2 linked regions of the Oreochromis niloticus genome follow. The protein of the gene in region 1 interacts with the protein of each later gene in a pairwise test. Links are inferred from orthologs where the notes say so. Each region holds a gene or a part of one and is shown in the gene's direction. Other genes may lie near its edges.

Region 1 (8,724 bases):
GTCCCTGTTCAACTGTCTGGAAACTCTGTGCATTTTTAATTGAAGTCACCACAAATTACTTTTGTGCTTCTCTAACCTTATTTTTAGCGCTGGTCTATTTAAATAAGTTAGTGAGTGACTGCCAGAAGCTGTTGTCCAGTAATTCTAGTAGCGTTACCTTTTTCTTTCTTTTTTCTCATATTTTTCAGATCTTCTGGTCAGACTCTGGTGAACTGGTCTGCATTGCCACAGAGGAGTCCTTCTTCATCCTGCGCTACCTGGCAGATAAAGTCGCTGCCTCCCAAGAGAACAACGAGGGAGTGACAGAGGATGGTATTGAAGATGCCTTTGAGGTAGGTGTGTGGATGTGAGTGCATTCACATCCTTTGTTGGAAGTCAGTGTTCAGAATAGCTTAGCATAATGTAATACTTGATCTAAGAAATATATTTGACCTTTTATGACATGTTCAGGTCCAGGGAGAGATCCAGGAGATTGTCAAGACTGGGCTCTGGGTTGGAGACTGCTTCATCTACACCAGCTCTGTAAACAGACTCAACTATTACGTTGGAGGAGAGATTGTCACAATTGCACACTTGGACAGGTAAGAATACAGACTATTTAGGCTCGAGTTGAATAGAATTGCCCTCCCAACTTTATTAGAAACACAGTCCAGCAATGCGGAAACTCCGCAGATTATTACAGTAAATATGTAATCTACAAAAAGAATAAGCAGCCTCTAAAATTAGCCTTGGTGCTTTTTCACACCTACTTCCTTTTCTGCAGGACCATGTACCTACTGGGTTACATACCTAAAGATGACCGTCTGTATCTGGGAGACAAGGAGCTCAATATCGTCAGCTACTCCCTGCTGGTCTCCGTCCTGGAGTACCAGACTGCTGTAATGAGGCGGGACTTTGGAATGGCTGACAAGGTGCTACCCACTATCCCTAAAGAGCAGAGGACCAGGGTGGCACACTTCCTGGAGAAACAGGTTAGCAAAGGCGATTCATTCATCTTCAAATACAACTGGACTTTAAACATAAGCTGTAGAAATCTGGTCTATTAGAGGTTATTTTAATGGTTGTCTTTTGAGTTGTAAGTATGCTTAAGGCTTCAATTTCTTTGGCTCATCAGGGTTTCAAGCAGCAGGCCCTGGCAGTGTCCACAGACCCTGAGCACAGGTTTGAGTTAGCCTTGCAGCTGGGAGAGTTGAAGATTGCTTACCAGCTGGCTGTAGAAGCAGAAGTAAGGACACAGAAGCAAACGCAAACTCTGTATCAAAGGCTTGACCATAAATGTAATTTGATGTCACGATGGATCAGGTTTTCTGTCCAGTACATTTCTGATATTTTTTACTCTGTTCTCTACAGTCAGAGCAGAAGTGGAAGCAGCTAGCAGAGCTGGCTATTAGTAAGTGCCAGTTTGGCCTGGCCCAAGAGTGCCTGCACCATGCCCAGGATTATGGTGGCCTGCTCCTCCTCGCTACAGCCTCCGGTAATGCTGTCATGGTGGGCAAGCTGGCTGAAGGGGCAGAAAGGGACGGCAAAAACAATGTAGCCTTCATGACCTACTTCCTTCAGGGAAAGTAAGTGTGAGATGTATGAGCCTGCAGGGGCGAATTGTGTAATAGAATCGTGTTGTTCACACTGAAAATGAGGCTACCAGGGTCATTCATGCCTTGCTGCTGTGCTTTCTTCACAGACTGGATCAGTGTTTGGAGCTTCTGATCAGAACAAACAGACTACCTGAAGCTGCCTTCCTGGCTCGCACTTACCTACCCAGCCAGGTGTCCCGTGTGGTCAAATTATGGAGGGAGAATCTGGCCAAGGTCAACCAGAAGGTTAGTTACGTCCTTGAGATTTTTGTTTTAGCTGTTAAACTCAATCAGCATCAGTCTAGATATCTGTTCTTGGTCATGACCTGCATCTTCATTGTAGGCGGCTGAATCCCTAGCAGACCCTACAGAGTATGAGAATCTGTTCCCCGGGCTGAAAGAAGCCTTTGCAGCTGAACACTACCTGAGAGAAACCTGCTTGGGCACCACCAGGCCTGCTAAAGACTATCCACTTGTTACAGTAAGCTGAATGACTTTGGTCAAAATACTTAAATTATGCAGTGAGGAGACGGTCATTAAAGTACTCACTGAAAGTCCATGATGACTTAAGTAAAAAAGATGCTTAGTTTTGAGGTAAATTATCTGTGTTATCGCTAATATGGCAGCACTTCTGAATTTGTATCTGACATTTTCAGCCCAATGAAGACAGAAACATTCTTGAAGAGGCCCAAGGATACGAGCCCAAAGGAACCTTCCTACCTCCTGTCTCTAAGGTTTGCATACAGTATCAATATCTCAGTACCTTTTGTATTAACCTGATTACTGTTCATTGTTCTGTAGCTTCTGTCGGGTGTAAGAATGAATAAAAGCTAGAGAAATTAGTGCCAAGTACAATTTAAAATTCCCTTATTTAACTCACTTTTTTTGGCAGACACAAGATGAAGAGGAGGCAGCAGCTCCCGTTGCTGCGGTGACACCTTTACAGCCTGAGCCTGCTCCTCCTGCAGCAGTGGAGAAAGAGAAAGAGACTGAAATCTATGATTTCTCACAGAAAGATAAGGTAAAGACTTCTGCTCTTTATTTTTGATTTATTATGCTGTCAGTCCTTCTTCTAGTGTGGAAGTGATGACTTAGGTTTTATTCATACAAAACAACTTTTAGCACATACTGTTCTTAGTTGATGAAGTAAAAGCAAATAAATGGAACATTGTTTAAAAAAGGATTTTCCTTTTTGTTTGTGTCTCTCCGTCCTAGACTCTGGATGAGCTCGAGGTGGACCTGGACAACATGGAGCTGGATGACATTGACACCACAGATGTTAACCTTGATGATGACTTTCTCGACGATTGATTGAGACCTGCCAACAGTCTGCTCCCAAGCACTCTATAGAGCATATTTAAAAGAAAAAGAGACCAAATCCCTTTTCCCCACTTTTTTTTTCTTTTGTATTTGTCCGTAAAAATGTTATATTGTCATATCCGCCTACTGCAGTGTTTGAGTGGCAGATCATGATATCAGTGATGTTTTATCCTCAGAAGAAAGGTAGACAGACTCCCTCATTTTGTAAACCATTTATTGTTTGAGAATTTCAGAAAAACTGTCCACTGGGCTGTATTTTATTACTCTTTGCTTTTTGCTTTGCTTTTTTTTTCTGTTGTGGCAAGTGAACATTCATTAAGTCCAATAAACTGGTTTCTGTACATATTCACATTTGACTAAAGAGCGTCTTAATCTTGATAGTTATCGCAAAAATTAACAAATGCAGCTTTTAATAATGAAGCAATAATAAGTTCCTCAGCAGCATCGAGTGTGTCAGGGTCCAGCTGGGGTCTTTGCTCCTCATCTACAGCCACTTACTGCAGCACTGAGCAATTCCTGAGATGGTGTGGTGTACGGCTTGGCCACACATCTCTAACTTTTTAAGGAGTTTGGGTGGTTATAGCACAATCAGAATCAGTATACTTTATTAATCCCTAAGGAAATTATGTGGGTTACAGTTGCTCCAGTACAGTAACAGAAACATAACCACTGTTAATCTCCACTGTGCAAACTATTGCTCTCCAACCTCACTGTTCCACCTCCGCTTTCAACTTAGGATGTCATAGCCTCTTCCTCTCGCTGGCCTGAGCCATGCCATCCTCCCATTCTACTGCCAGCTGTATAAATTAGACAGACACACATGCATCACTGCATAATAAACAGCATAATAATGCATAATTATTTGAAAAATTCCAGTGATGCAAGTCTTGTAATTGTCAAAAACAAACAGGAAAACCTACAAACATCTTTTGGCAGCAGCAGCATTTGTGTAATTAACATTAACAGTGTCTCTGTTGCACCATGTAGGTGTGGCAGTAAGTCAGACATGACTAACATGCAGCCTTTACTAAGATTCAAGTTGTTACTCTCTGTATGAGAAAGGCCCATTGTGCATCTTCTAACTGTTTTGAACAGGTTAAACTACTTTATGCTCGTAAACATGTTAAAAAAACAAAACAAAAACACTTTTACTGCAGTGCACTTAAGTGCATTCTTTTAGGTTCTTTTCTGAGTATTGATACAATAACTAGCATCACAGAAAGCAGTTAACACTTACTCCACATGCACAAAGTGCAATATTAGTATGAAAAGATATCATTTATTCTCCATAAAGAGTACTTTTATCTTGTACTACTTTAACTGTAGCTTCAGACTTTTTAAACTGTTGTGTTGCTTTAACTGCATTGACAGTGTGTTTGTGATTGTCATGCTAAAAGAGTCATCTGTTGCCAATTAGACACTTTCCACATTGTGCTTTTCTGCGTTCATAATTCAGTTTTTAAAAGGCAGTGTTTGATACTTGATATCTTGCTTTGTTTTTTATGACATTTTGATAAATAGCAAAAGTAAAGATGGAATATTTTGATGGTTACACTTATAAAGATGTAATTTACAGCATTTGTTCTATTAAAATGCTATTATCTGTAAAGAAAGGACTATAAAAGTATGTTATCCTTCAGCCAGATGTATGCTATCTAAAAGTGTAGATGTGTTTGTGTGTAAAATCTCACTGCACACCTCAGAGTAATAAGACACATTTTTATCTGAAATAGCAGGTAAACACAGATGTTAATAACCACATTAATTACGGCTTTGTGCTTAAATACAGCATAACCGGCATTAATGTCGGTAACACCTGTCTGCTATTTCATGTGCTATAAAACATGTCTAAAGTGTGAACAATGGCCATATAATAAACTGAAGAATGTTAACCATGATCCACAGTCATAAATTAAGTTCTTTGACCTGCTGATGTGGGAAAAACAAATAATCTTGATAACAAAATTGAAATATTACTGCCTTTCAATCACTCTGATTGGACTTCTTCTCAGTCTGAGTGAGCTATGATAGCAATTACAAGGGGTCAGCAAAATTCATACACAAATAAAAATGTCGTTTGATTTCAAAACCTCTCCCTCCATGCCAATTCTCTGCTGTATGATGGGAGGGCCTACATTCCCCCAACCCCCTCCTTCCAGATTTAAAATGCAAAGGGGAATTTTCCATTTGTCTTTTGTGTCACAGCTGAAATTTTTAATTTCAGAGTGATTAAGATCCAAATTCTAAGAGAGTAAAATGATGACTGACAATGATGGTCTTATTCTTTGCAATCCATCTAAAGGTTTCAGCTGTAAATTGGAAACTTTTGAGTATAAACATATTGAAGCTCTGTGTAAGTATAACATCATATAATTGTGGGTGGTCTGTGGGGCTTCAAAACTGCTTAAAGGCCGTTTAATGGCCTTGCCAGAGCAGTATGGGAGCAGTTAAAGTGCCCCAGCTGTCCTCGAAAAGCTGTCACTCTCCTCCTCACCTGCGGAGGGCGCTCCTCCGAGACAGGCTTGGACGATTTTATGCAGTTTCGTGTGCAACAAAGTAAAGCCGAGCAGCTAGCGAGAAGGGAGTACGGACCCTTCTGAGATTGTTTATTTTTGCGCCGTTTTGAAACTGTTTTTCTCACTTATTTGTAAGGTTTTTGTGATATATTGTAGGTTTTACACAAACGGAAACTAAAGCAATTCAGTCCTGGGGCGGTGTTTGGACGCTTTGTGGAACAGCAAGGTGTTTTTTTAATAGAGAGTCAGACGTAACGTTAGCAAGCTGCCGTAAAGAAAAAAGAAAGGGGAAAAAAAAGGCAGAACCGGGCACTACGGAACGGGTCGGTCAGCCAGAGAGAGTCGGGTGGACCACGGCACAGCCGCAGCCGCCAGCGCCACGGGGAGTCGGGGCCCGAGAGGGAGCCTGCCAGGCCCTTGGCTTGATGCACCCAGTCTGCCTTGCCTTATCCGCAGTCCGAGATGGGGGAGACCAAAATTATCTACCACCTCGACGACCAGGAGACACCATATCTGGTGAAACTGTCGGTGCCGGCGGACAAAGTCACGCTGGCAGACTTCAAAAATGTCCTCAAGAAACCAAATTACAAATTCTTCTTCAAATCTATGGACGATGACTTCGGGTAACTGTTAAAGGGTTCATTGTGTTTAACGTGGAATCAGCATAGCAACCCGAGTCTGCTTAACCTCAGTCCAGTCAGATTAACTGTAACATATTTGTTACCTCGTGGAGCTGGCTTGTCATCACTTTTAAGGTTGCCTGTCTTTCAGTCATCAGCTAGCCGTTTGCTTTGCTGTTCCTTTGTTAGCTGCTAGCGTCCAGGTCGCATCGTTAGCAGGTCTGTTCAGCGTCCCGACCCCGTTTGTTTACATTGCTCGTGCTTAGCTTATGCTGTACTGTCTTACCAAGTTTGGTCATTTCCAGTGTCATGAACACTAAAAGAAAGCCTTTAATCGCATTTCAACTTATTGAAGACTAAATGAAACAAGGAGCAATTCAGAAAAGTGTTACTAACTAGTTATTGACGTTACAGCTGTCAGTTGCTGCCTAATGTATGAAACGCTTATGCTAGCAGGCTAATGAATGGGTCTAACCGGACACTTGGTGAGTGAGTGAGACCAGAAGGCCCCTGCTGTTGTTGTCTATTAGCCTAAGGAATGCAAAGTTGGACACAGGAATGCCCTGTTCATCACTCTGGCAGCTTTATGAGCGTGTCCCTTTGTGTTAAAACATGGCCAGAAAAGTAGACGTTTTATGATCCTCCACACTTTACCTTCTTCAGAGTTAAATAAAAGGGAGAAATGTACTTTTTTTTTTTTTTTTTTAAACACTCGAGCCAGGTTGCCAAAGTTTTTCTGGCTAAACTCAAACAAGGGTGGGGCAACAACCTAGATAGGAAGGACGAGTTTTGAAAGGATCCGCAGCTATTTGTGTTGTTTCAAGAGTGGAGGTGCATGCACTAAATTAGCTGCTGAATCCTTAAAGTCTAGACTGATGGTGTTTTAGTAACTTGTTAGACTGGTTTGGAGCCTGAGATCTTTACCAGGAAAGCCTCACTGACCATCAGTGTTCTCCCTGTCAAAGACCCGGCTAATCTTGACATCTCCAATACTCTGAGGCACTTGTTAAATACATGCCTTATTTGTCCTCTTCATTGTGTAACAAGGTGTTGTTAAGATCTGCCTGCCATCTGATCCTTGCAAGCAGGACTGAATGAATGGGAGGGTTTGCAGGAAATTCACATGGTTACATTTACACATGCCTTTTGTTAATGTATTTGCAGCAGTCTGTAATGCATTAAGGCTTACTTCTATATATGAAATGGACAAGTGAGCCATCTTTGGACTGGTTTTCTGTGCGTGTGCCAGTAGTGTCAAACATTTGGTTATTTTGAACATTGTCATTGATTCTTAATGTGTAAAACTGTCCCCAGTTGTCAGCGTCCGTCCTGGTTGGTGGAATATATTGTCCAGCTCCACTTCCTCTAAATGCACCCTCATGTTTTATTGCCCAGGGAGTGCTTTTGTGTTGGTAATGTTTGACTGAAACAAAGCCTTGTTCTCTTTACAGGGTGGTAAAGGAAGAAATATCTGATGACAATGCTAAGCTGCCCTGCTTCAATGGACGCGTGGTGTCATGGGTAGGTCCAAAATACACGCTGCAATAAAATGTATTTATTTATTTATTTTTTTACTGTTTGCTTGTGTGCGATAACTTGTGTGGTTAAGTGGCGTACATGAATGTGTAACAATGATTACCATCTGTTGGGCACTTACCCCAGTCATGCTCAAGCTTAGGGGGAGGCACTGCACATCTGTGTAATAATATCATTATCACATAACGATCCTCAGAGCAGTATACATACACTGCTTTTCCTAAACCTTTTCTTTTTCACTGTAAAATATCAATTTTTTTTAGCGTGTCCTCACACAGGCTAGTTGCCGCATATAGCACATACATGTACTTGCATGCAATTTCTTATTTAAAGCCTCTAAGCAATAATACGCCTGTCTCCACAACATTCGAGACATCTGGCGCTCGTGCACGGCCCTCCTTCCTCTCTTCTCGACATTGAAATTGGATTAAGAGCAAGTGAAATCACAGGATAGCCGGAAAATACTCCATAACAAAGGGCCTCACTGCAGGTCATCTAACAAGAAGATTGAATCTCACAGGGAGGAGAGAATAAAGCAGAGAGAAAGACTGCTCTGTGTCGTGATGTGAAAGGCTAAAGCACTCGCTTAATTTCTACAGTGTGGTTTTAATTATTTGAGCATCATCAACATGGCGTTATTGCTCCATTCTGGAGCGTATATTCCACCGTGCTCGTCCTAATGCGTCTCTTTGTTGTGGTCGTTTTCATTAGACTGCGCAGAGGTTTAGTTTAATGTGTTTAAAAGCCAGTTCCCCTTTGTGTGCGTTTGCTCCAAAGTGTTTGTTATCTCTTGAGGGCTGTTGATATGTTCCACGTACAGTCAAATGTTATTTCTGTTACAGTATGTCCATTTGTTTGTCTCCGCTGTTCATCTGTTGTTTCAGTGATCTGATTGATTATTCTCTGGGGTCCAGAGGCCTGGCTCGCTGCACATCATTTCATCACAACAAGCCAGCACCCTGTATCTCCTGTGCTGTGGCTCCCTTTAGTGCACACCAAAGTAGACTCTTGTGATTGTGATTAAGAGCAGAAGACTTTAATTTTAGCTATCTTGCCACATAGTAATATAGCTGAATTATTATGACAGTACAGGTGATTTGATTTGATATACTGATGCCCTGTTTCAGCACAACATATTTATCTTTCCAACATCTTGGC
Region 2 (8,231 bases), on another chromosome or scaffold:
CCAGATGCTGTTCCTGATGCAATCCTCTCAGGGATTTGTGTCTCCTGATAAGTATTTGGTTACCGTTATGATCAGACAACCACATAACATCCACTCCAGACTATTACCAGAAGCATGTTTTTTTTAATGTAGGTAATTTTCGTACATGTGAATTCCGTCTCATCTGTTATATGATTAACGTACTTCCTAGCCTTCCAACGCCATTGCCTCTCTCATCCAAATGGTGCAGCTTCTGATTTTTAAGCACCTCACTGGGCTAAAAGATTAATTTCTGACGAAGGTCACAATTTTGTAAAATTGCCTTTTTAAGAATCTCTATTCTTCTCACGAGAGAATATTTTGCTTTCATTCAACGTGGATATAGTGCTTATATTTATTAGACTACGACCCAGTGTAAGATTTATACCACAGCTGCCCTAAATTAACAGTTCTGCTATATAGTGAAGAAATATTTTTTTATGTTTCTAATTCAATTCAATTTTAAGTATACAGCACCAAATCACAACAACAGCTTTATATTGTAAGGTAGACCCTACAATAATACATACAGAGAAAAACCCAACAATCATATGACCCCCTATGAGCAAGCACTTTGGCGACAGTGGGAAGGAAAACCCGCATTTTAACAGGAAGAAACCTTTGGCAGAACCAGGCTCAGGGAGGGGCGGCCATCTGCTGCGACCGGTTGGGGGGAGAGAAGGAAGACAGGATGAAAGACATGCTGTGATGTTAATCTGGTAACATGCGGTAGTACAGCCCTTACTAAAAAAAAGTAACCTTGATCGGCATGCAAACAATATCAGTGATAAGTTCCAGTCTGACTTTAAACCATGCCGTAGCACTGAAACAGCGCTGCTGAGAGTCCTTAATGACCTTCTTTTATTTGCCAACTCAGGGTGCTCTATGGTCTTAGTTCTATTGGACTTGACTTCTGCCTTCAATATGGTGGAGCATAATATCCTCTTAATGAGGCTTGAACATACAGTAGGCATAAGGGGTAGTGCCCTTAACTGGTTTAGATCGTATCTTTCGGATAGGTCCTACTCCGTCACTATGGGTGGCTGCTCTTCCTCTGTTGCTTCCCTCTACTGTGGTGTGCCCCAGGGATCTGTGTTGGGCCCGTTGTGGTTTTCATTGTATATGCTGCCCCTAGACTCTATCTTCGAGATGTATAATATCTCCTTTCACTTTTATGCTGACGATATTCAAATTTACTTTCAGCTGACTGATGACATTTCGTCGTCAGTACACTGTCTGCTAGAGTGCTTGAGAGAGGTCAAAGATTGGCTCTCTGATAACTCTCTTATATTAAACGAGAAGAAAACGGAATCATGTTGTTTGATAACCATATTTCCCGGGGCCAATTTGCCGACACTCTTGGACCCCTTGCCGCCTTTCTTTCTGGCACTGTTATCAACTTAGGTGTCTTCGACACTCTTCAACAGCCTCTTTAAGTTTGACAAACAAGTATCCTCTGTAGTTAAATCTAGTTTTTACCAACTGCGTCAAATCTTATCCATGCTTTTGTGACCTCTAGATTAGACTACTATAATTCCCTTTACTTTGGTCTCCACTCTGCCCTTCTTCATAGATTTCAGCTTGTCCAGAATGCTGCGGCACACCTTTTGACTGGAACCAGAAGGTTTGCCTCTATTACCCCAGTCCTTGCTGACCTGCATTGGCTTCCTATCAAATACCACATTGAGTTTAAAATTGTGTTGCTTACCTTTAAAATCATGAACAACACTGCACCGTGCTACCTTGTTGAACTCCTTAGTCCGTATACCCCTAGGAGAGCCCTAAGATCATCAGGACAATTACTCCTAGTGGAGCCTAGGTCCCGGCTAAAGACCAGAGGTGACCGTGCTTTTGCCCTGGCAGCCCCTAACCCAGGGATCTGCAACCTTTTACACCCAAAGAGCCATTTGGACCCGGTTTCCACGCAAAAGAAAACACTGGGAGCCGCAAATACTTTTTGACATCTAAAATGAAGATAACACTGTATAGATTGTTTTTTATCTTTATGCTTTGTGTGAACAACTTAAGTGTGTTGCTTATGAAATCCATGAAGTGCTACAGAGAAAATTACATTATATTTATGTAATCAACACATTTTGAACTCTTAAAGAAATATAATAAAAGGAAAGACACCAACCTGAACTAAAATGATCCATGTAGCAAACAAAAACTGTTGTCAGCCGCCACCCTTATATCCCCTTTGGGCTGTTGGAGCCTTGACCTGACTCTTAAAAAATAATTGGAAAAAAGCACTATGCTGCTGAAAAATGAAAAATAGATATTTGCAAAATTCTGCCTAAATATGTATTTTACCTAGTTAATGCGTGCGGCGGGGCGTGGTTTGCAGCGCCGCTGCAGGGGAGGCGGACGCACCTGAGCGACACCCGCAATCACGCCTCGCTGCCTTAAAGTCTGCGCTATCTGTGCTGTTGTGTTGTCGGGCTGTGAGCTGAAAAGCTACAGCCGGCTGTATGCATACAGCAACCGTGTGTGAAAAGTGCTCAATAAAGAGATGCTCAAAAGCATGCTCATGGAAACATCGTCGGGTCTGCCGTGATATGTTTACAATGGGACTTCTGCTCCTGAACCTCTGCGCACAGAGTCCGCAAATCGGGGCTATACAAAGTCAGTTTACGCAGGACTGTAAGCTGTCATCTGTCAGGCGTGAACGGTGTTTGTCTTTAACATAGTTCACGGTGGAGAACAGCTGCTGACATAATGTGGATCCGAAGATCCATAATTGGCCTACCTGGGGTTGAAAGTCTCGATAAATGCACGGCGTTTCGGCGGGTACACCGGCTTCCGCGAGTGTGACTCTTATTTTGAGCGATGAAAAAATAATAGAATATCATTTTATTTTTATATTTCAATATCACAATAATCTTCCAATTTAGAACTACAAGTTAAAAAGAACTAACATAAATAAAATACACTTCAGCTAAATACTTCTAATTTATTTGCCCAAACCAAGCGGAGCCGCACTTTAAGGACTAAAGAGCCGCATGCGGCTCCGGAGCCGCAGGTTGCCGACCCCTGCCCTAACCTCTGGAACAATCTTCCTGCAGCTATTCGCGCCTCTGATTCCATCCATTCATTTAAATCACGGTTAAAAACTTACCTGTTTGAGCGAGCGTTTCTGGTTAGTTAGTGCTCATTCCCTGTATTTTATCCCTATGTTATTTATCTTCTATTTGATATATCACTGTATAAATACCCCCACCTTATATTTACAAATACTCAGTGATTTTATCTTTTAAATTACGCTCAGATGTTTCATTTCCTATTTTATCTGTATTGATTGTTTAACTAGCGTTTCTCACTTGTTAGTTTATTTGTACCCTGTTATGGTCTGATATCTGTTATGTTTTAATCTTGTTTTGAAGCACTTTGGTGTACCTTTGGTTTTAAATGTGCTATATAAATAAACTTGTATTGTATTAATCTATCAGTATATACAAGATGTAATGAACATGATATTTTCAGTGCTAAAATAAAATATTGTTGTTATGCATCCATTTACAAATACTCTGTTTTACAAAAAGCAGGAAAATAGTCTTAAATAAGATGCAAATTCCTGAACAGAAAGATTTGGTTTAGTAGTTGAATGTTATGCTTGATTAATTTCTGACTAAAAAGTATAAAATTGTGAATTATTTAGTTTTTAGTTAAAAAATGCATTTTCAAGAGATTTTTAAAATATTTGTGTTTTTATAGTTTTTAAGAAAGGTGGTCTAATAAATCTGCTAAGCACTCTCTATACAAAGGGGTTTTGACTCCAGCATCCAAGAAAGACATCCAAACATTCATGAAGGGTATGCAACAAATGGCAATGTTATGCCTCTGATGTCAGCACAATTTCATTTTGGAAACATTTTTCATCCACAACTATATTATAGTTAGTTTGCTGAGTGGTACAGTAAGTCCAAAAGTTTGAGCTTCAGTATCTGCTTTATGCACAGTTTATAAAATTCTTGCTAACCAAGCTAAGTAGTAATTTGGCTGATCACACATCACTCCACTCAAATATGACCACTTCTGGTTCCAAACACGGATGGGAATGGTAATTTCACAGAGATCAAAATATTGCATGGCAAAAAGGGAAGACCAAAATATTGCACAGAACAAGGAAAGACTGAGATATTGCACATGGGATGGCAGCAACATAGTCAATCAATAGCAGCGACGGAGTGATTGGATGGGAGAAGTAGCTGTATAAACTGTTGGCTATTTGAGTTTGTATTTTAGAGTATAAACAGTGCATGAGTGTGTATCAGTAAAATAACCATTTGAACACATTATATGGAGCCCTACTTACTCACAAAGAGGTGAACTATCATCATTACAGGTCATTAAGGGATCACAGTTGAACCGATAGGGGATTGTCTGTGGGAGTGAGACCTGGTAGTTACAGGTGGCTCAGCTCAGGGGAGATTCGTGTCAGGGGAGTCTCTGACCTGCAGGGACTAGCCATGTTAGACAACTTGAGAAAAACAAGTCTTGTGGGTTTTTTAAAAGTCTATTCACACTCAACGAATGTGTGGTGGCATAACAGCCAAAGGTGAGGGGGCTTGAAGGTGTCATCAAGCTCTGACATTTTATAGTGTACTGTATGGATGTTTGACTGAAATCAGTGTGTTTTGTTTGACTTGCTTTCCTGGTGTCAATGTGATGCAATAATTCTGCGCTTATAACACATGGGGATAAATGTGATTAATTAAGTCTACAAAACACAGTTATACACACACTTACACATGGACACATGGGGAGCAGCACAAACACCACATGTTTATGCACTAAAAAATATTGGTCCATCTTGCACACACGCACACACAATGTTGGGACAAGCTTGCACACATGAACACACAAACAAAGTGAAGCACACACACGCACGCACACAAGAAAACATGCACACACACTCGAGAGACGGCAGAAGAAGGAGAAGAATCAGCCTAGGACGGAGACAAGTTGCATTTATCTTCTGCATGCCAGCCTGCTGCGTGTGTGCGTGGGAGTATTGGTCCCCTTGGATGAGCACACGCGGCTGAGGATGCAGCTGGGAGCATGAGTTCTGACAGAGAGGAGTATGACATGGTCTGTCAGAGAGCTGTGACCCTAATTGTTGACCTCTGCCTGCACAACAGCACATCGTTGGATCAGGACACCTGTCAGGATTTCCTTTTCCTATTGTCTGGCCACAGCTCTGACCACAAAGAACTGGGTGAGTAATATCATTAGCTTCTGATGTGCACTGGTTGTAAGGCAGCACCTTCTCTGCCTTCTCTGTGCTTTGTATGGCTCCATGCTCATTTGTTTCCAAGAGTAGAGCTAATAGTAAAGGATTTTGTTTGTGAATGCTTTTCTGTCACGCAAAAGTCGAAGAAAGCAGCAATCTGCTTAAACATGTGCTTGTCCTTTTCTATTTATTTCCCACATGTATGCTCAGAGATGGTTACTCGGACAGGGCTTTCACTGAACACTCGTGGCCATTTATATATCCTTAATGAGTTTTTGTGACCTCAGGGCAATGGGGAGCAATAGGTGTACAACAACAAAACAAATTCCCATTGACTCGTCAGTTTGCCCCGGAGGGCAGAGTTTCTTTACTGTAATGGATAAGCCTTAAGGCTGAGTGATGCCCGGTGATGTCCTGAGCACAACAGCTTACAATCAAAATAAAATAAAAACATTTTCAGGCATGTTTTGTATGGTTTATGCCTCTAAATATAAATCTGAACACATGTAGCTGCAGCTTGTGGAAAAGCAGGATAGTCGTGCGTTTAATCTGTACGGCAAAGTTTCGACATCATAAAAAAGGGATTTTTGACTTATTCATGAGGGCTGATTTACACATCTGTTGCAGCCTTGTGCATCTGTTGCTCTTGCACTTGTAGTGGGCTTCACCCTCTTTAAAGGAATAATCCCTCTCTTCAAATATATTTTAAATGCAGCAGCTCTACAACAGGCTCCAGCGTTTGTGTGTATTTTTTCCCTTCTACAAATTCGAGTCATGAGAATTTGCAGTTCAATCTAGCAAATATTGCCTGAGTTTTCTAAAAGCGGGGGAAGCTTGATTTAATTTACTTACACTGCAGATAACACTGTCAAATACACTAGGGTGTTTGAAGGATTTGTTGCCTTATAGACTTAGAAAGGCAGGCTTCCCTGAGGTCTCACTGTGTGAAGATTTTTAGTAAATGGGATTTAAATGTTAAATGTCTGTGTACAACATGAAGAGTGACACGATTTATACACTTTTACAGAATAATTTGCATGAAAAAATGAAGCAAATTCAAACTACAGAAGAACAGATTGTTTAAAATAGGAAGTCTATCAGGACACTATTTCATGCCAATTTCCATTAACTGTTGCATATTATTTATCCATAACCGCAATTTGGATTCCTTTTATAATCCATCTGATTTTACGAGTTTGCTTGCAAGTTCACGTGCACTGCATTGAGTTTTCTGTGTTTGACAGAAAAAAAAAAGAGTCTTTAGATTCGTCAGCAGGTGCAGAGCAAAGAGGAAATGCTATTTGCTGCTGCTTTTTTGGAAGATGGGCCCCTGCTCAAAGAGTGCATGTCACACCAATCCTGACCAAATCCACTGTCACCTCACATCATCCTCAGCAGAGAAATTGAACGTACATCACAGTGCCACTGGCATCTACTACCGAGCTGTGGGGACATTACATGCCATTGCATGTTATGTGGCCATTGATGCAAATTCCTTCTGCCATGAGGAAGCTAAAGACAAGCTGCTTCTGATAGTGTTGGAGGATGTGTAGGTTGGGGCTGAAGAAAATGTCTTGTTTCACGTATTTTTGTGCAACACTGATTACAGCAGAAAGAGAGATTTGAGTTTTTGTTCATCAACAGGACTTACAATGCAGGATCGTAATAAAACTGACATTTAAATAAAAGATTTTTGACAGATTTTATAGGTTTAGCCCGAAGTGACAACTTATTCGTCACAAATCACAGTAAATAGAAATTACACATTTCACTATCATGCTAATTGCCAAAACGCAATCTGTGGTCACACATTTGTTCATTCAGTTTAGTTTTTTCAATTTTTGTTATATAGCACCATAATCCATACAAAGCACACACTGCAAGGCACTTTATATTGTAAGCAAAGACCCTACAATGATATGGAGAAAACCCCATCGGTCCCCCATAAGCATGCAGTTGGCGACAGTGGGAAGGAAAAACTCTTCTTTGATGGGAAGAATCCTGCATTGTGGAAGAGAGCTAGAAATGAATAAAAACTAATTAAACACACAGAGTATAAACACATAGCGAGTGAAAAAAGATGAGTGAAGATGAAATACTCCAGCAGTCTAGAGCTATTGGAACAAAGCTAATGGAGGGTAATAATAATTATTTGATGTTAAAAAAGTTTATGAGAATCATTTTATATATTTTTCCATAGCATTACATTTGAATTTAACAGTTCAATCTTTCAACTAACAGACACATATTTGTGAAATCATGATACATTTGTGAATGTATTTTAACAATCTAAATATGCATAAGTACAGACAAGTACATTTAAAAAACAAGAAAATTATGTTTTATTACATTACAGTGATTTTACGTTAATTTACATTTGAAATGTGAAATCACAGTCTATTTATGTAAATTTAATGATATTCTAGAAGAACAGAACAAAACTGTAAAATACACAGTAAAATACTTTTATATTAGGATTTTTTTTTACAGTGTAGCCTAAGTGCCACAAGTAAGCTACTGTAATGAAATCAAACAGAGAGAGCCTGATTTTTGTTTTGTTTTTGACATATTTGTTCCAAATTGTAAGAAATTAGGAATGTTTTTTGTTTTTTTGGTTTGTTTTTTCTGTGAATTGCTCTTCTTATTTTAACTCAATTATTCCATTTCTTAATTGATCAGTAAATTAAATACACACACACACAAACACACACAAGAACATAAGGCTGATTTTAAAAGTGCTACGACTTGTCGTAGTAGGGTTTCCAGTGTTTGAGTCTTCACAGACAGTACTGAGAAATGCTACTGTTTGAAAAAAGTGTGCGTTTTTTTTAAGTGTATGGCATGTTTACAATTTTGCTGCATCACCTCTTTTTAGAAACCTCTGTTCTTCATAACTGTGGAGATCAGCTGGTTTATTTTTAAAAGCAAAATTTCGCTTCCCATTCATTTTCTTCTATATTGGATTTCTTCTTTCTTCATG

Evidence for each region.
Region 2: the proteins of segment polarity protein dishevelled homolog DVL-3 (region 1) and syt6a interact in binary tests that used the Homo sapiens proteins (3 or more experiments, as listed by UniProt). The two-hybrid records come from large-scale screens. The link is inferred for Oreochromis niloticus from reciprocal best matches to the Homo sapiens genes DVL3 and SYT6.

What each region holds. Positions count from the first base shown.
Region 1 is NC_031982.2:12,052,382-12,061,105, forward strand, and holds the start of segment polarity protein dishevelled homolog DVL-3, read left to right. Parts: upstream 1-5,401; 5' UTR 5,402-5,872; coding exon 5,873-6,033; intron 6,034-7,481; coding exon 7,482-7,551; intron 7,552-8,724. Other genes in the region: copb2 (coatomer subunit beta'), read left to right, coding at 189-332, 451-581, 764-971, 1,115-1,225, 1,351-1,565, 1,682-1,820, 1,918-2,055, 2,231-2,308 and 2 more. UniProt on the Homo sapiens protein: Involved in the signal transduction pathway mediated by multiple Wnt genes.
Region 2 is NC_031984.2:8,068,418-8,076,648, forward strand, and holds the start of syt6a (synaptotagmin-6), read left to right. Parts: upstream 1-5,057; 5' UTR 5,058-5,079; coding exon 5,080-5,236; intron 5,237-8,231.